Linked DNA regions of Drosophila melanogaster. The protein of the gene in region 1 interacts with the protein of each later gene in a pairwise test. Each region holds a gene or a part of one and is shown on either strand. Other genes may lie near its edges. The genes, in order: unc-13, Rbp, Liprin-alpha and brp.

The links.
Region 2: the proteins of unc-13 (region 1) and Rbp interact in a two-hybrid assay, tested with the Drosophila melanogaster proteins (2 studies listed by BioGRID).
Region 3: the proteins of unc-13 (region 1) and Liprin-alpha interact in a two-hybrid assay, tested with the Drosophila melanogaster proteins (one study listed by BioGRID).
Region 4: the proteins of unc-13 (region 1) and brp interact in a two-hybrid assay, tested with the Drosophila melanogaster proteins (one study listed by BioGRID).

What each region holds. Positions count from the first base shown.
Region 1 is NC_004353.4:890,550-895,534, forward strand, and holds the start of unc-13 (unc-13), read right to left. Parts: upstream 3,017-4,985; 5' UTR 2,956-3,016; intron 2,401-2,955; 5' UTR 2,345-2,400; intron 2,292-2,344; 5' UTR 2,248-2,291; coding exon 1-2,247.
Region 2 is NT_033777.3:15,372,899-15,377,669, reverse strand, and holds the start of Rbp (RIM-binding protein), read right to left. Parts: upstream 3,036-4,771; 5' UTR 2,809-3,035; coding exon 2,702-2,808; exon of another isoform or gene 1,993-2,701; intron 1-1,992. Other genes in the region: Ccm3 (cerebral cavernous malformation 3), read right to left, coding at 4,200-4,284, 4,657-4,771.
Region 3 is NT_033779.5:6,722,242-6,726,946, reverse strand, and holds the start of Liprin-alpha (Liprin-alpha), read right to left. Parts: upstream 3,045-4,705; 5' UTR 2,863-3,044; exon of another isoform or gene 2,770-2,862; 5' UTR 2,554-2,769; intron 2,121-2,553; 5' UTR 2,100-2,120; coding exon 1,851-2,099; intron 1,790-1,850; coding exon 1,688-1,789; intron 1,172-1,687; coding exon 818-1,171; intron 746-817; coding exon 644-745; intron 575-643; coding exon 407-574; intron 349-406; coding exon 229-348; intron 1-228. Other genes in the region: homer, read left to right, coding at 4,137-4,150, 4,517-4,705.
Region 4 is NT_033778.4:9,502,009-9,506,820, forward strand, and holds the start of brp (bruchpilot), read left to right. Parts: upstream 1-1,756; 5' UTR 1,757-1,837; intron 1,838-2,995; 5' UTR 2,996-3,460; intron 3,461-4,812. Other genes in the region: Wnt2 (Wnt oncogene analog 2), read left to right, coding at 1-248, 314-501, 719-1,031.

The DNA.
Region 1 (4,985 bases):
GTTATTTCTTAATAAATGTGCACTAAAACTGCTATCATTAGAATTATGGGATGGATTAAGGCTGTGAAATGTGGTCATATTTGCGTGTGAATTATCTATTTTAAAGTCATCCAATGAGCTGCCAACTAATTTTTTTAGAGTGTCAATATTTTTTTTTAACTTTTTTATTACCAGAACAAACTTTTCATTTGTGTTTGAAATGCAAAGCCTTTGCAGTTCTTCAGTAACAGTTAACGGATTAAGTAACAGCAAAGTCAACTTTTTATCGACCAGACTAATTTTTTGAAAAAACCTTTCTTCCGACCATACGGCATTTTGTAACTGACTCAATTGCGTTGCACTCAATGATTGTAACCCTTTAATTTTATTTATTTCCCCCAATAAAGTCTGTATTACGTTGTTTAACATTTTTCGTATATCATCTTTTAAATAACTGGTACTAATATGGTTGTCTGATTTATTTTCCGTTTCAGTTTGTTTTACACATGCATCTGAAAGTTTCGAACCCAATTCTTCAATGTCTCTCTTAATAATCTCTGTTGATTGTGCTTGTGCAAGGATACACTTTAGTTTATTAATCATATCCATTTCGTTTGTATGATGTTTTTTTTTTCTGTGCTTTCTTGGTTCTTTGTTCAAATGTTGGTTTGGCTCTGTTACGAGACACGCCTTTGCAGTCTGTAAAGGTTGTGTACCTGTAATAGCATTCACCCTCTGATTATTTAAAACTGGGGAAGAAGTTGACTGGTTTCGGATAAATGAGATGTGGTCATGTGTGGCCTCAGACTGATGTAGCAATGCATCAACCTTAAATATCTCAGAGCTCAATTCATTGTCTCGATAAGCCTCGTTTAGATTTTTATAAAAAGATTCGTCTACTTCATTAATATTAGCTGGACTTTCTGTTCCTCCAGTGTCTTCAATGGGTAAAACCTGATTTCCACCCTCGCCTGTTTTAGAGGCTGCTATTTGAAAAAAATTATTACTACTAGGGCTGACAAGTTCACAGGTTGACCGTCTCACGTATGTATCATCTATCTCACTTAACAGTGGTTCTCTAGGCTTTACAAGATTTTTATCCTTCTCAGAACTTTTTGACAATGCACCCGAGGATGCCGAAATCTCATTTAAAACTCGACGTCCATTTAAAAATTCTTTCATTAATTCGGCACGCGCGCTATTTGCTAGAAACTGCTGCCTCTCATATAACATAAGGTCAGAATCTGAGTAAAGTTTAGTTCTTGATTCCTTGTATGCTTCAAAATCCGATTGATTACCTTTTTGTTTTGGCTCGTAGCCTTTTTCAAAACCAAATTTTATTATCCCAATGTCTAAGTTTTTGCCATTGAAATCAATGTTTTCAAAATTTGGATGGGAATCTATTGCGTAAGCGGAATTCATAAGGTCTTCCGATTTAGTAGCTTGCGTATGTTTTGTTACAAAAGTTTTTTCATGATTTTCAAAAGTAAGATTCTTATCAAAGTCACGATTAGATGATTGGATATCTATATCTAATGTGTCTTCCATTTCCAACGGTAGCAATTGATCTTCATCTTGATATAAGGGTACTTTCATTCTTTCGATATCCACTTTTTGAAGTTCTTTTTTTGATGCGCCGATAAGATCCACAAGGTTGCCAACGACAGACTGTTGTTCTATTGATATGTTTTCAAGCTTTTCCAAACGAATCCAAATCTTTCCGTACTCCGTAGAAAGCAAATCCAATGCACGCCAAGCAAACTTCAGCTCTGTCTCGAGTAAACTGATCCTTGTTGCAATTTTATCCATATAATCGGAGATAATGTAGTCAGAGTGTTGCTCCGAATTGTAGCTCTGACACAACTGTTGTTCACTTTTAATCGATATCATACTTTCATTAGTATTTATGCTTGGATAACTTAAGTAAGAGAAATCCAATCCATTGGGCGACTTACTCATCGGTGGTTGCATTTCCGGTATTTGTGCTTTGGCAAGGTCAAAATCCATGTTGTGTTGGATAGAATTAAGGTGCCCCTGGCTTAAGAGCGGAGCTCTTACTGATCCGGCAGCAGAAGAGCTCAATAGTGACGACGCATAAATCGTTGATTGTTGCTGAAGTCGTAACTGCTCCTTTATTTTAATCTGGCTTTTGAGGGCATTTTCTGCAAAGATAAGCTTTTCCTGGGTGTTTATTTTGAGTTCCTTTTTAAGCAACTGACTTTTTTTTTCCGTATCCCCGGTCACTTGCAGCTGAGATGTGTTCATCATACCGTTAATTAGGGTTTTATTCGATGGATTAGTTTTGTTTTTACCTAAATAATTTTGTTTTTAAAATGTGTTTTAATGCTCTGTGTGGAATACATACGTTTATTTCAAAAGCCAATTTCGTCTGTAATACTGAATTGTTATATACATATGTACCTAAACAGCGTTAAGTGGTTGACGACAAAAAAAATACACATAACTATTAAAATTAGGTTCTTGTACTATGTATGTATGTGTATTTCAAAACGTATTTAGATAAAACCCGGTCTTAATTTCACTTCTAAGCACACTCAAAGTAAATAAAAATGCTTTTTAAATATGACCTATATTAGTTGTAACAAAATACACATGTGTCTGTTTGAAATTTACTTCAACTAAAAAACTTGTGCAATTAATTAACTAGTACCAAATGTGGTTTAATATTGGTAGGTTTTTCAATTATGCTTGTATGTACTGTAAAGGGGATCCTAAAATGGATGCGTTTATTAATTATTTGGTATCTGGGCTTAAGAGCGATTCCAGCTTTTTTTCTTTTTTATAAAAACAAAACTGTTTTATAGTCTTTCTGTGCACAAAATTATGTATATGCAATTTTTAACTAAAAGGCCTAAGCTTTTTTATCTGGCTTTCTTAATGTAAACGGTTTGAAACCACTACGAACAATTATTTGTGCTCTGCTAAGAATTAAAAAAACGTTGAAATTCACAGTACAATTTAGTAAATTCTTTGTTGCGCCTAGCTCCGTTTTCATGAAGCTACCAGCAAGTAAGCTTTGCGCGGATGACAGTTACACACTTAGAACTTTAGTTTTTAGTACACCATTGAAAAGCTTATGTATACAGAAAAAAGTCAAGTGTGGGTAAGACGGGAAAAATGTAAGAGAATATTTTTCTATCTATTGCGCATGCCTTAACCATTCTCTGTCAAACGCTCTTAAAGTTTTTGTAATAAACTGAACTTACTCCTTTTTTTATAATGTCACATCTAAGACCATTTATTAACCGTTTACAATTCGTAAACGGTTAACAGGTTTTCAGAATAATTACATCGAACGATTTTGTTAAGAGTTGCCTCGAAATATGTCAAATTAAGACCATTCAAATTAAAAGCTTTAGTCGTACTCCCTAATCAATTTTGAATAATTTTCAGGGGCAATACATTGCGTTATGTCAGAATTGTCTCAAGATCAAGTCCAATGGAATTCCCTTAAAAAGGAAATGACAAACATTAAATATTTAAGAACAATTTTGAAAGCTTTAGTCGAAAGTTTTGACTGTGACATGCCCATTGCTCAAGAAATGCGAGGAACTGTTTCCGTTATTTATCGAGCATCAATTTGCGGTCGTTACATGAATTGTTTAAAAGTTTTGAGTTAATGTTGCCATTCATTGAAACAGATATGAAATTTCTAAGATAAAACGGCGGTGTCTTATTTATACCGTTACAAAATCCTAAATTTGTTAGATTTGTGTTTATAAAATATATGGTGGTTATCAATTAGCAATAGGTCAGGGTGGACGATAAGCGTACTGGCGAAGCAAAGAAATAAAAATACTAGTAAAGGAAAGGCAACGAAAAAAACAACCAATACTTAAAAAAATTATATTCAGGAGAAAAATTATGTTTTTGGCGAATTTGTTAATATGAAAATTTTGTTTTTTTTTTTGTCTGTCTGCTCAATCCTAGTATGCATTTATTTATGTTTAAGTGCTTGACAGACAATACCACTTTTCGTAAAACCCTTAAAGCTGTATATACTTTAAAATTCCTTAAATTCGTCAATACATTTTCGTTAAAAAATTGTTAGGCAGCCAAAACAGCTTTTTACCCAACGAAAGAAGAAGTGGAAAAAATAACTGTTTAGGGTTTAAAAATAGAAGCATTGAACTGATCCTTGTCTGTTGTCAAAAGTATTTACACACAATTTTTACGCGTCAAAATTATTTACATACAGCTTTTTTAATTGTTTTTTGCGTTTTTTTTTCGTGGAGAACAGTCTATTTCCTGAGGTGAATGCGTGCTCATTTAAGATATGGAGGTATCCTGTTTGATTTATTGTACCCTCTATCGGTACCATGTCTCCAAATCCAAAGTAGCTTAAACAGCCCCAGAACATCACCGTGCCACCACCAAATCGATTGATTAGCTGGACGGCATTCAACCTTTAGTTTTTTTGGGAAATGCATAAATTTCTTGCTAAAGGATCTCTGAAACTGAAACCCAATTTCATCAGTCCATAAAACATCAAACCAGAACTCGATAGGCTTCTCTTTATACTCCAAGGCAAATGAGAGACGTTTTTCATAGGAGTTGATGTCAACTTCCTTCATTCTGCGACGCAGTGTACTATATGTTTTCCAATTAAATTTTTCGAAGCTGCGGCAATTAAAACGGGACTAATGGTGGGATTACTGAGTACAACTCCAATAATGTGTCTGCAGTCTTGGGTTCAATGCAACTTTTCGGCCAGGTTTCTTTTAATTTTCCAAATTTCCCAGTGTCCTTTTTTTTAACTAAATTGTACACAGTTTTACGTGATATTTTGTACAACTCAGCTAATTTGGATGCAGAAGAACCAGTCTTAAGTTTAGTGACAATCTCGACTCGATGCCCAACTGATAGCTCCTTTGTTTTTGCCATTTTACAAATTATATGCTTAGTTTTATCTATTAACTTACCTGTTAACAGTTAGTTTAAGTTCCAATTAAGCGATCAACATCAACTAGAACTTCACTTACTCA
Region 2 (4,771 bases), on another chromosome or scaffold:
AAAATTCCCATTCACTCGGAACTGAGGCACGTTATCTAACAGGGAGAAAGCAGGGAATTGGGAAGGTAACCTCTGCCAGCACAGTATCTTTATTTCCGCACAACGTGCCGTATGCGTAATATCATTTACAACTGCAAGGCGACTGTCTAGTGAAATATACAAAAAGTCGTAATTAAAACAATATTCGTTGACTATTCGTGGTTGGAAAAAAACGCCACAAAGAAATGAAACGAAATATTCCTGCCAACTTTGTTGGCCCCAAACTTCGACAAACTAATTTAAAAACTTTGTTGCGTTTTTGGTTTTTGGCGCGCAGCAACTTTGATTTACTTTGAAATGAAGTGCCCAGAAAACCAAGAAAAAAAAGCGGGAGAACAAAAGTTGCAACTGCAAAATGGCAATTTCCACCTTGTGTGTTGACAGACAAGTTTGCAAAGAAAGGCAATTAATTAGCATCCGGAATCGGTTGCCTTGGCAAACTCACGAAAAATGCAAAAAGTTGGCCATACCAAGCTAATATTTACATATTCTCCAGCAAAGGTCGGTGAAAGTTTTAAAGCACCATTGTCTGCTCTTCGATGCCCTAATGAGCTGTCGTTCAATTAATTGAATGCTCACACACTTGGGCCATAACAATCAAGTGCTTCTAATTGCAGCAATTATAGCCGACGAAGGCAGGGGCCAACAGCCATTGCCAACAATTACATGCATAAATAGTCGACAATGTGCTCGAGAATATGACGAGTGGCAAGTCCTAAAAATAACACTGCGAGCAGAAACTTTTTAAAGTCGAGCAATTACAATTACAATTACATTTAAGATGTTGGGAAAAGTTCATTATCCTGCTGCTGGCATGACCTCAATCGCAGAGCCAAGGAAAAAAGCGAACCAGAACACGAGCACAAAAACTATCTTGCCTATTTATAACAAGCTGCTCACACACAGGCACACACACAGACCCACGAATTTCGTCGCTTCTGGCGCTGAAATACTATAGAAAAAAACCATAGCACAGTTATGGGGTGGAAAACCAAACCGCCAAACCGGGAAATGGGAAGTGGTTCGGAGAGAAGCAGGGGGATCCCCGCCTGTGGACATCTCATGGTCGCAGTTTGGCTGGCAGCCCAGCATATAAATTATTGAATGATTGCCATCTGTCAAAATTGGCCAAACTCAACGATTAATCCTGCTCGGAAAAATCCAATAAAATCATAATGGCTTTTCTTTTCAAGCCGTTCTTTATATTTTTCAACACGGGGGATCTTTCTGTTGGCTTAAAGGAAAATTCAATTGAATAGTTGCACATTTGAGTTCTTCATGTATTAAATACATATGCAACATGTTAATTTAAATTTGGCCAATTATGTTTTAATTCATCTACAGAAAAAACTACATATTTATAGAAGGAAGCTATGAAGACTTTCTTTTCATAATAAGCCCGTCTAGGTTGTGATAATGTTGTATTAAGTATCCGCAACGTGTACCAGGCCATCGACGCGTGACTTTCGATCATTGCAGTGGAAACTGAGTACAGTGGGCTATAAATATATACGAAATACGTGAAAGCATTCAATCGGTGGAAAGTGCTGTTACGGGTATTAAAACACCGCTCCAGAGAAGGTAACGGTAACCGCATGCACGCTGTAGATACCTTTAGTGTACATATATATGTATGCATATGTACATGCATACGTACATACACACGAACGTGTGTGGTGGGTGTACACTGTATGTAGTATGTGTGTTACGCACGCAGCAGCAAACAACTTTAACATTGTTGTTGCGCAGGCTGTGGGACAAGTGTGAAGTGAAAACCGCCCCCAGAGTGCGAACCCAAAAAGTGGGACTTTTCTGCTGCTGCTGCTGCTGGTGCTGCTGGAAGCTTATGAATATGAAACGCTCACACACACATGCTGCTCCTGCCGTTGTGGCACTTGCAGTGGTATTGGTGCTGCTCCAGTTTCGTTGGCCATTTACATCTACTTTACTTACATGCCTCTCGCTCTTTTCGCTTTCTCTGTATGTGTGTGGCGGGTGTATGCGTGAGTGTGTGTGGGTGCGCGCTTTTTTGTGCCAAAATGTAGCTGAACTCTGCTTTTAGCCAATTTCTCCGATTTTATTTAGGCATTTTTCTATAATTTCGGTTTCATTCACCATTTCGCCTGCCTCGGTTTTACAGTGATTACCCGCATTTGCATATTGTATATGCATCAGCATGTGGGCGAGTATGTATATGTATATGTTTGGATATATGTATGCATGTGAGTGTGTGTGGGAGAGTGTAGTTTTACGCTGGCTGCTCTTTTTCGTATTTTTTTTTTTTTTTTGCCTTTATCGATATGCTTACACTTTTACTTTTCACTGTCCCACCATTTTCCCGGAATCATTATATCTTTCACTGGATTTTTTAACTGCACTCGCGGCGAGCTTTTTCACGTTATTGGCGAGAAAATGAAATTTTCACGCAGCAGCGGTGCTGTTGGGCAAACATTTGGTGTACAGCGAAATTTTTCGTGAGCTCGCTCGCTCGCATAACAGCTCTTTTTTTCAGCTTGCGCAAAATAAGTATTTACCACGCGATTTTGACACTTTTTGCTTAAACTGCGGTTTTCGTTTTCGGAAGCACAGGATTTTATCCTTTCTTTTTGGGTTAACTTTTTGTAATATTTTGTATTCGGGGGCTTTTGAACGGGTTGCGAACCTTTTTTGCTGCTTGTGCTTCTGCTTCTTGCTTGCTGCTGCTGCTGCTTTTTCAGGTCGCCTGTTTTCCTCTTCCACGTTTGCGCTGGGAAATTCACATAAATGCATATAGTTTACACTAGGCTACGTAGGCTGTACATAATATATCCGAAAAACGCGATCGTTTCACTGCTACTATATAGAAAAAAACTCCGCCTAGTTGTCCACTTTCTGTGGGTAGTAGCAGTTGGGTCTCAGTGCGAATACCGAAAAGTGGGTCATCTCGGTCGCGCTGCTGGCGCACTCTGATTTCTACCCAACTGCCAGCTCGGTGCTCAGTGTGCCAGAGCAGAGTGGCCCAGAGAACCCAGAGCCGAGCACTCAGTACCCAGTGCCCACTATTCAGTGTGCGGGGAATCGATTTTTCTGCCAAATGACACTGAAAAACGGGCAATTCTCTCCCGCTCTCAGAAGGACTCCTTTGGGGTTGCAACTGGGTAAATTTCTGCTCAGGGCCTGTTATTGGGGGTTTACTATTACTTTTGGCTGTTATCCGTTAACAGCGCTGTCCTCTGTTAACGACATGTGCGTGTAAATCTGAGATTTTGATTTCAGTTTACCAATCTCTGATTTTCGAAATCAATTCTCGGGTAATATAAAACAATTATTTCCACATCATACCACACCTAATACTATAAATTATAAAGTAATTTTACGTAAATTGGTTAAATATGAAACACTCTTTTCAATTTTGGAATATAAATACATTTATTTGTCGTTTTCTTTTCGCTATGTCTACATTATGAGTTTGTTGCCGTTCTTTTACTTTTGCTTAGTGTTCGATTTTCATATAACATTTTATTAATTAAAATAATTTTTTCTCCATCCTGTTGATAGTGCTGTCGGCCACTAATGTCTTTCGCTTTCGCAGTTTTCAAATAGAACATATCATTAAGTAAAAGATTATTATGTATAGTGTTTAAATTTCAAACTCTAACAATTAAAAACAGTTAAAAATTTAAGTGTTCCGTTAATGTTTTTGTTTGTCATCTCCCCGTAGTACATACATTTCCTGTTTCTCGTTTTTTTTCCACTAATTTTAAATTTATTCGTAGGCGCTTCTCCTAAACAAAAACAAACTAGCCGATGTTGTTTGTTAACAGAAAAAGAATGAATTATTTACAATAAATTGTAAACGAAAAATAAACTCTCGCACACATCGTCCGTCTCCATAAATAGTTGCTCACTAGTTAATTACAATGCTTAGGCTTCGCAAAATTTTGTGTCCGAGTATGTGTAATACATATGTATATACGATATAAATTAGGCCTATTTATTTAGTTACAACAGATTTTCATTTACGTTCAAACATTTAACTTGGACTGCGTCGGGCGATTTTGTATTTAAGTGTGTTGAGTTTATTTGATTTGTTTCGGTCTTGGTATGTTAAATGGTTATTTAAACATAAAATTAAAATGCCACTAATTAATTAATTTGCCATAATTAAAGGATTTAATTCTCTACTCGCATTTACTCTTAACTGTCAGCATTATTTGATTCGTTTGCCGTATTAGAAAAAGTGCACTTATGAATACTGCATTCGGTCTGAAAATAGATAAAATAAAAGAGAATCGGTTAGAAAATCCTTGCTGAAGCAATTTGAATTAGTAATGCAATTTGGCCCCAATTTCATGAAAAGGTCAGCGGTAATAGCCATTAGTACGTAATCGAAGCAATTTACAATTTAAAATGGGCGGGGGTCCGGCTTAATATCCGCCCCTCAGAATCTCCGGCGCAAAATGATAAACCAAACAATACCCGGAATGCCAATGGAATGACATCATCTCAACGGTTGGCCCGAAACGATAAGAAACCAGATATGAGCCGATTTAAAGAAACCGGCTGTCATGGCGTCGCAGCGTATCGTTTGATAACACATATAGTAAATAATCACTGCAGGTGATTCTTAATACTTACTGTCCTTCTTTGAAGTACTCCTTCAGCGTTGTGCTGAACTTCTTGGAATATTTGACGAACTCCTTCTTACGCTGCTCCACAGCCTGCTTGCCCGTTACGCCAGGTATAAACGAGC
Region 3 (4,705 bases), on another chromosome or scaffold:
CTAGCATACTAGCGATAATTGCTTGACTTGTAAGATCATGAAAAATTTATCTGCTATTCAATTGGAAATAACTTTACAGTAAGGTAATGAGTAATCAATGGATTTTTTTGAACAAATGGACTGTGCGCTTATCGAAATATAATAAAAAAAAATCGATCCTCATGAATAAAAGTAAAGATATGTATGCCTGCCTTAACCATAAGCTGTAATTTCCTTGGTTTTACCCACCTTGAGCTGCGCCTCTTTATGCCGTAGTTCCTGCTCGAGTTTCTCGTTGAGATCATGCAACGATGTAGACTCCCTCTGAGCATTCAGGTATCGCTTTTCCAATGTGGTAATGCGCTCCTCCTAAAAATGAACGTATAAGTAAAAAACTGAAACCATGCTGTGAGTATTATTCACTCACCTGATCCTCTTTCTGGGCAACATTCTCGCGCAGATCCCGCTGCAGCTTGGCACACTGGTCTTGGGCCTTGCAGTGTTCCTTTTGCACTCGCGACATGTTCTCCTCAAGCTCACTAATCTTGTTGTTCAAATCAGAAACGCGTCGCTGCCATTGTGAAAGTTCCGAGGTCTGACAAGGAAAGAGCGTTTTAAAAAGTGTTCACCATATGCAGACTGGAAACAGATCCGCAATCTTCACCTGCTTCTCAATAATGGTTTGCAGCTCGTGGGTTTTGGCTGCGTAGTCGTTCAGCTCATTTGCCTCGCCATTAACGCCACCAGATCCGCCCACGCCCGCCATCTAGGGTATTGGAAAATAGAAGAGATATATTAAACCGGACATGCTTGACTGCATTTCGAATGTGGAACGCACCTTCTCTTTGAGCCCGTTCTCGGCGCCCCCACCACCGGCGGTGGTTGCGGCACTCCCTGCTCCGCTGCCACTGCCCACGCCAGCTGGCACCACGCCCGCCTTGTACTGGGCCAGTTCCTCCTTGGCAGAGCTGAGTTCCTCTTCCATCATGTTGTTCTTCTCGATGGAAAGCCGCAACCGCTCGCGCACCTTCTCGTCCAGCGCCTTGTGGTGCTCGAACAGCGACTTTAGCGCCTTGAGCACTTCCACCTCGCTGGAGACGCCGCTCTGGGCGGCAGCCTGTCGCTTCACAACGGTCATACGCAGGGAACGCTCGTGGCGGGACACCAAGCACTCCAGATGTTCGAGGAGAAGCTGAAATAGTCAAGTTAGATCATTAAAAATATATTATTTCACGCAGTAACCGACGTTTAAATTGTCTCTTTAAAAGTAAAATTACCGTAGAAATTTAATTAAAACTGATTTTCTTGATATTCAATGAAGCGGAAAGGACTTATAAATACAGTTTACTTCACTTTTTATGGTTTAAGACGGATGTGAATACAAAGAACTAATTCTTAAAAGGCTGTAACAATGTTTGTATAGTCACTGATAAGTAAACAAATAGACAAGCCATGTTCGAAATAAAAATGAAGACGGACAGAGTAAACTTTTGTATTGTTCCCGGTATATGTGACTAATTCGCAAAAGCAAGTACCTACAACTGTTTCTTGTTTGAATAACAATGGGATATGTAATTTAGCAATGGCTATAATACCTAAATTAATAAATTAGTCTAGCAAATCTTGTCATGATCTACCTGATCTAACCATTACTCAATTGTCTCAGTAATTGAAATACCAAGGATCTAAATTTTCGAAAATCACTTACCCTGGTATTATTCCTCTCCGCCTTGAGCTCCCCAATCTCCTCGTCACGTTCCAAAAGGGTCTCCCGCGCTTGCGTCAGCTCCTTGGTCAGGGTGGCAAACTCCTAGAAAGATCAGGAAAAGATTTTAGGTAAACTGCGGTATCAGCATGCAGAGGCCACTTACTTGCGGCAGATTAGCGTTAATCTGTCGCTGCAGGCTGTCCCGCTCCTTCTCGACGTCACGCAGCTTGTTCTCCGTCTCGTTAAGCCGCTCCTGCGCCTCCCTCAGGCTGTCCATCAGCTTGTCCCGCTCGTCCAGCATGGAGACCATCAGCTGCTCAAAGTTGGCATCCTCCCCGCTAAACTGCGAGGAGCGCTGCGAGATGCTATCCTCGGATATCGTGGGCATTACGTCGCACATCATGTTCCACATTATTTAGTTGGGGCCGCCAGACTGTGCGAGACAGAGAGGGGAATAAAGGTTACAGGATTTTGGCTGTAGGTACATTTTGTGCGGAGATTGTACCACTATCGCTGTTACCGAAGCACAAAAACTAGACGCGTTTTTCTAAAGTTTCTTGAATTTGATCCTTGATCATAAATGAATTGGCGTGATTGAATTTTTGTCTGTGATTCCGCATATGGGAGATACTTAATGCTGTAGCTTCTTCTGCATAAAATCAAATTCTTTATGTTAATTGAATTTATAAAGTAAATTCAATTAATTCATACAAAATGTCCATTCTATGGAGTCCGGATATTTTACTACACACACACACGTTCGCTAGCCATTCCAATTGAAATACCCAGCATAGTGGGAGAAACATGTCTAATGAGACTTATCATAGGCGCCGCATTGATAACAAGTTTTCTACACCAACACATACGCACACTGTCGCAGGCGGGGGCACACGCACGGCATACACACTCACACGCGCACGCACACAGGCACAGTACTTTTTCTCTTTCGCATAACTGGCATATTTTGTGTGCCTAGGTGTGTCGCTGTCGCATTTTGCAATCACATATACCCGAAACAGGGTTAAACGAGCAGCAGGTGCGAGCTTACGCCGCTTTTAAATGCGTTCCAATGAGTTTTTCACCTGAAATTTCGGTTTAGTGGGACGGCGTTCGTGTGAAAAAAAAGAGGCTGCGAGAAAATCGCCTCGTACTCCTCGTTACGCCGGAACACGTACCCCGATCGATCGCACGGCGGCTGGGCAGCAGCAGCAACAACAACTCTGGCCGCTTTTTGCCCTTCGCATAGGTGTCCCGGCTGCTTTTAATTAAATAAACCGAATTCCAAATGGATTTTTTAACGATGAGAAACTGGTCAGTGTTACCAGATGGCAAAACGGCTAAAATCCGTAAACCAACCCTGGTTCTTCACTACAAAATGTACTACATTTCATGAATTTTTTCAGTGGTTCTATTTCGTCCAAAAAATATAGAAGTAAAATGTGTTGTTTTAAAGTTTTTGTGGCAGTCTATTTATGTTCAAAGCTAAATTATATGCAAATATTATTGCCGATCAGGAGTTGCCATTTGACCTATCGTCAAGTATTAGAAAAATGTGTACTAAAACTAATGCTGCCACACCGCACAAAGAAAACCATATCTAACAAATATTCAAACTACATGTAGGCGCACAACTAGACAGTCAAAAAAACTTATCACTTTTATCTGAAATTATTTTGTAACTTCCGTCATTTAAATGCAATGCTTCAACAGCTACACATGTTTTTGAAAAAATTACATTGTTATGGTGCCTTACAGACAAACATATTTAGTATTTATTTATCTTAATTAATTTGCAATTCGCTTTACAGCGATTAAATTATTCGATAAGAATCATTGCTCTTATACGAGCTCATGTGTTATCGATGCTTGGAAGCTAATAAATAAATCATCGATGGTGTTGAGCCAGTAAAAACATCGATAGCACCATACAAACATCGATTTTGGTTCCAGCTCTAGACATTTGTGTTTTATTTTTTTTAACCGTGAAATTCATAAGTAAAACCGACTAGCATTGGTATAAACTGCTGCGGAAGCACTCAGTCAGCGCCAAAGAACGAATACAATGGGGTAAGACCGATGGGCGCGGCCAAACCGGCCTAAACCTGCCGTTTTTACTGTGGGAAAAATCGACGCCGAACTAGCTGACATCTCCCCCCTATGATGTTGTTGTTGTTGCTGCCGTTCTGTGTGTAGCGGGCGGCGTAAATACATACATATATATGTACACAAACATACACCTACACACGCACACGCGTGGGCAGGCCAATTACATGTGTGTGGGTGTGCAGGTGTGTGTGACTGTGCAGGTGTGTGCGTGCGTGTTTTCCGCCCGAGAATCAAAAATCACAAGCAAGGCTGCGGAAAAGGCTTAGCACATAATGCAATTTAGTCGGCGGTCGACAGTCGCCAGCGATAACGGGAAGACACAAGTTATAGAGCTCAGCGAACGATGTCGGCGGATAGGTAATAGATAAGATATATATATGTATATGTGTACAAATAAAGGCACTGGAGGCTACCACGGATACGGAATTGATTTGATGGGGGCCCTGCGCCCCGCAACAAACTGTCATTGCATCAGGCCAGATCGCAAAAAACAAACATATATCGACCTACTTTATCAAATAAGGACCACGAGGATTATCCTGGGACTTAAGGACTACTAATTATAAATGCATTACACAGTGCCTGTTGACTAATAAACCACAGTAAAAGAATGCTTTGCCATAGTTTACTCACACGAGCACAGAAGCACAATTTATTGCCTGCTCTAAATGGAATTTTTAATTAATCACACGCTTGTCGCTTTAATCCCTTTATGACCCTTAGCGAACAACCGATTTTCACCTGCCAGGCGCACGTCTTCCACATCGATCCGAAGACGAAGCGCACCTGGATCACGGCCAGCATGAAGGCGGTCAACGTTAGCTTCTTCTACGACAGCTCGCGAAATCTGTACCGCATCATCAGTGTCGAGGGCACCAAGGCGGTGATAAACTCGACGATCACACCCAACAT
Region 4 (4,812 bases), on another chromosome or scaffold:
GTGCCGGAGCGGCGTACGCGGTGACCGCCGCCTGTGCCCGCGGCAACATCTCCACCTGCGGCTGTGATGTGCGGCACAAAGCCACGCCCACTGGCGGCGGTACGCCCGACGAGCCCTGGAAGTGGGGCGGCTGCTCGGCGGACGTGGACTTTGGGATGCGGTATGCGCGCAGATTCATGGATGCCCGCGAATTGGAGCGCGACTCCCGCACGCTGATGAACCTGCACAATAACCGAGCAGGGAGAACGGTGCGCATGCATAAAATTTAATAATAAATATGGCCTAGTTAATAGTTATGTTTTTCTCTTATCAGCTGGTCAAGAAGATGCTGCGCACGGACTGCAAGTGCCATGGCGTCAGTGGCTCCTGCGTGATGAAGACCTGCTGGAAGAGCCTGCCGCCCTTTCGACTGGTTGGCGATAGACTCATGCTGAAGTATCAAAAAGCCAAAACTGTTCAAGCCGTCAAAGGCAAACGTGGACTGAGATTAGTATTAAGCAGGTGAGAAATGGGAATCTTGCAAGATGTTGCATGATATGTAGGCAATAATCTAATGGCTAAATAAGTATTCTTCTAAAAAGAATAAAACACATAGTAGTCATTAAGTCCTTTTTAAATGCAATATGTTTGCTGTGCCTTCTGTAGCACGGTATAATATCAACACATTTTCGATCCCACATATTAACACATACCTCTTTCCACTTTTAATTTCTTGCAGAAAGAAGCATGCCGGCACCGCTCGTGCCCAGAAACCGGTCCTCGATTGGCCGAAGCGCATGGAGCTGATCTACCTGGAGGCGTCGCCCAACTACTGCGAGCGAAGTCTGCAGACGGGCAGCCAGGGCACCTCAGGTCGGACCTGCCAGCGGACCGGCCACGGCCCCCAGAGCTGCGATCTGCTCTGCTGTGGGCGTGGCCACAACACGCAGCACATTCGAAGGACCACGCAGTGCCGCTGCCAATTCCGCTGGTGCTGCGAGGTCAAGTGTGACGAGTGCGACGAGAGCTACGAGGAGTTCACCTGTAAATAGACGGGTAGCGGGAGCATATCGCTAGAACTAGGGCTATGTCATAGGAAATGCGTTGATTAAGTATTATGAGAAATGTATTACAACCGCAGATACGCACCGCGCCACCATACAGACACATTCCAGAATAAACGTAACAAGTTAACATCCCCAACGAATACTGTCTTATTATTAAGTTCGTATAATTCAAATAAGTATTTAAGTTTTCTTAGAAAAGAACCTTCTGCAAAAAAGCTAATCTAGGTGAGCTGATACATTCAGTCTGCTGTTTCAGATTTCTTATTCCTTAAAAATAGTTTCCAAAATAATGAAATCCAAATCTTTAAGAATCTATAATCTGTTCTTATAGAAAACTGTTCCTAAAACCAACGAGTTCATAGTCTAATTTTGAGGGCGGTTTGAATAGTTGGCGCGCAGCATTGCCAACGCTGAATGTGGAGCAATACGTAAGACCCACATTCGTTTAGCGTAACGCAATGCGCTGGCTCCATATTTTGGTATTGGAATTCCGGAATCCATTAAGCTGGCAGCTCGAGATGCCAGCACTCACTGAACTGCGCGAGCGCCGAAAGGAAAATTCATTGATTGCAATCGCGCGCTCTCCGGCTAGCTCTCCCTATGCCTAGGCCAGGAGGAAAGCAGAGGGTGGTCGGTAAGGAAAAGTTGGAAAACTCACCACTTGCCAGCGAATCGGCGACTATATTAGCAACTGGCTTGCACGAGCCGTGCTCAGTTCTTTGAGGGTAGTTAGTTGGACAACGGCGTTGCCGAAAACGGGCCACCTCAGCTGCCGCACAATACATTTTTGGGTTAGGAACACACATAGACACGAATACCAATACACTCCCGCATGCACACACACATACACACACGCGCAGTATATGTATCTGGCCGAGAAATGTATAAGGCCAAGAAAAGTCCAACTTAATTGCATTCGCAGCGGAGAAAAGTGAAAGAATAGCGCGAGAAAATTCCATTGACTGGCGAAAAGTGCTTCGATCAAATGCATAAAGTCCCCGTTAGTGTGTGTGTATGTGTGCGAGTGAGTGAGTGTGCGTGAATGGCAGCACTAGCGCTAGAGGCTGCTCCCTGGATACAGAAAAGTGATTTCCTGCAAAAAGTGCGAAAAAAGCGAGTTAAAAGCAAATCGAGCTGGCCAAAAAGCCGCCTATAGCGCTCAAAATCGTGTGACAAACTCAAGGAACCATTTCACACACACCCTTTATACGTATATATATATACAAATGTGCATTTGTGTATAGTATATCAGTGTGAAAGACCAACGTACAAACACACACTGTCAATCAAAAGGAGTCATCTGTCCCACTAAACGCTGCCTATCGATTGGGGCGAAAGCAAAAAAAAATTATTATAAATTGCTTCAACCTACATATAAGCCATGCGAGTTATACACACACACTCGCATTCGCACACCCACAAAACCGCACTCACACACACACACACACACATACGCATACGCCTACAAAGAGACATTAAGTTTGAAAAGCTATAAGCTGTATAACAGAGCCTAGAGCCGAGCGAATGAAGTGACGGAAGGTGGGGTGCCAGCATAATGTTGAGCCACCCAAACCACCCGCTCAGCTCCACCGCCCCTCGCCCCTCGCCACACGCCACTCCCCCCACAATCCCCTTTCGTTACGTCGAACCTTACGTTGTTCGTGAGCGTAACTCGTGCGTAGAACACTCTCCACTCCATTTTGCGGAGCACTCTTCAACTCCCTATCTCTCCGTATCGCTGTGTTTGCTGTGCCTGTGTGTGTGTGTGTGTGTGTGTGTTGGGCTCGAATGTGTGTCAGCGGGAACGAGTGTAAAAAATATCCTCGTTGGGCACGAAGCCACCAAACCACTTGGAAAAATAAATGAAACACAAAAAAACCCACTCAGTGAATGAAGACTTTAATTAGTTTAGCTGGAAACTCACGCGGTTTAATTATCCTCCCACACAGCCATGTACATAAAACAAAAGCCGTTTAAATCATAAACACAAAATGCAATTAGCCAGCGAGCGCACGCCACGAAAGTCAACAAACTAACTAAGCCAGTGTCATCAACTAAATTAGTGCAAGCAGCTAGCCGACCGGAACCGGAAATGCCCATTGAGCCGCCTGACAACAACCACAAACACAATCACAATCGCAGTCACCAGCACCATTGCATTGGCAACGGCCATAAAGACGAGCAACAAATCGCCCACACACACATGTAGTTGCAGCGCGAGTGCGTCAGTGTGTGCGGGCTCTGAAAACCGGAAGCGGAAGTCGAGGAGCAGCAGCAGGAGCAGGAGCAGGAGCAAGAGGATTAAACGAACGAGGAGGTGCAGTAGCAGGAGCAGCAGCTAGCTTAGCCAGTTTTTCATTCGCCCGCAGTTCGTTAAGGAAAATCATTCAAAATTCATCGCCTAAGCAAAGCGGGTGAGCTATTTAACCGTATTACGTATACGTAACGACACCCACACTGACACTGAGATACACACACATAAACGCACACACAACCAAAGAAACACGGCAAAAACTTCAATTTGTGATGTGAACCATAAGCGATATTGATTTCTGATTTGTGCGTATGCCTTGTGTAACAGGAGCCGCCATAATTTAATCGTAATCAGTTATAAGTAATCTGTTTTTGTGCCTGCCTTTGTTCTCTCTGTGTAACTTCTTTATCTCCTGTACGTATCTGTTGTGATTTCTTTCTTGTGATTTTACCGATGAATATGTCCAGCTGAATATAAAATACGATCCCCGATTATCTAGACCTAGTTGCAGTCCTAGAACGTAGTCGAGTAACTTAGTTTAGCGAGTAATTTTAGTCTGTTCTCCATGCATTACCCATACGCCCCGTTCAATCAATCAATCATCCGGAGATTGGCAAGCAATTTGAAAACTTATAATTAGATATGTGGATGGTGCCTTGTGGGGCAGGCTCGACGCATTCGATTTGCTCGCATGATTTGTCAGTTTTTTGTTCAGCTTTTTTGGGGGCCGGCCCAATCACCTCCTTTGCGTGTCAATGATGCGGTGTTTGCCTTTATTATTTACTTCTTTCGGCTGTTATTTGAGTTGCTTGCTCTAATTTTAGATCAGCCGAATAACTTTTATTGATTTCAAATTTCAACCTTATTTTACATGTGGTCTGAGTCAGTGTCTGTGTGTGTCTGTTGTGAGAGTCAGTGTGTGTGCGGGCGAAGAAAACGCCGCCAATCCATATATTGGGGCAGTGGTAACAACAAAATACGGCAAATATTTTACGATGACGCTATTGTTGTGAGCGGGAGCGAATGGAGAAAGCAGCCAGAGGAACGGAGAAAGGCGAGAGGAGAAAGGGAAGTGCGCTGGTGAGATGGCACGCATTTGCGCACTAGCCTCCCAGTGTGGTGAGTTCTCTCTCCGGCTTTCTCCGGGGACGCCTCTCGTTTTTTCGGAAGCTATTCAACATGTTTGTTTTGGGGTGGAGGCCCCCGGAGCAGATAGCCTGATAAGATGGCCTCCGGACGGACAACAATCGTAGTGGCTTCCAGTTTCAGCTTCAGCTCCAGGTCCCCCAAGTATGCAGCTAGAAGTGCAATCCGTCTCCCGCTCTCCGCATCTACATACATCTGGCAGTATGGCAGTATATATCTGGATATGTTTGCCCAGCAAAGTGCACTGCCTGGGGCTCCCTAATGGCATGGCGATGTAATCGAATCTGGGCCTGATATTTTATGGCCTGTCTGCCATATCCTGACCTCATCTGCTGCGCTTCCTCCATCTTTTTATGTCCCCATTCT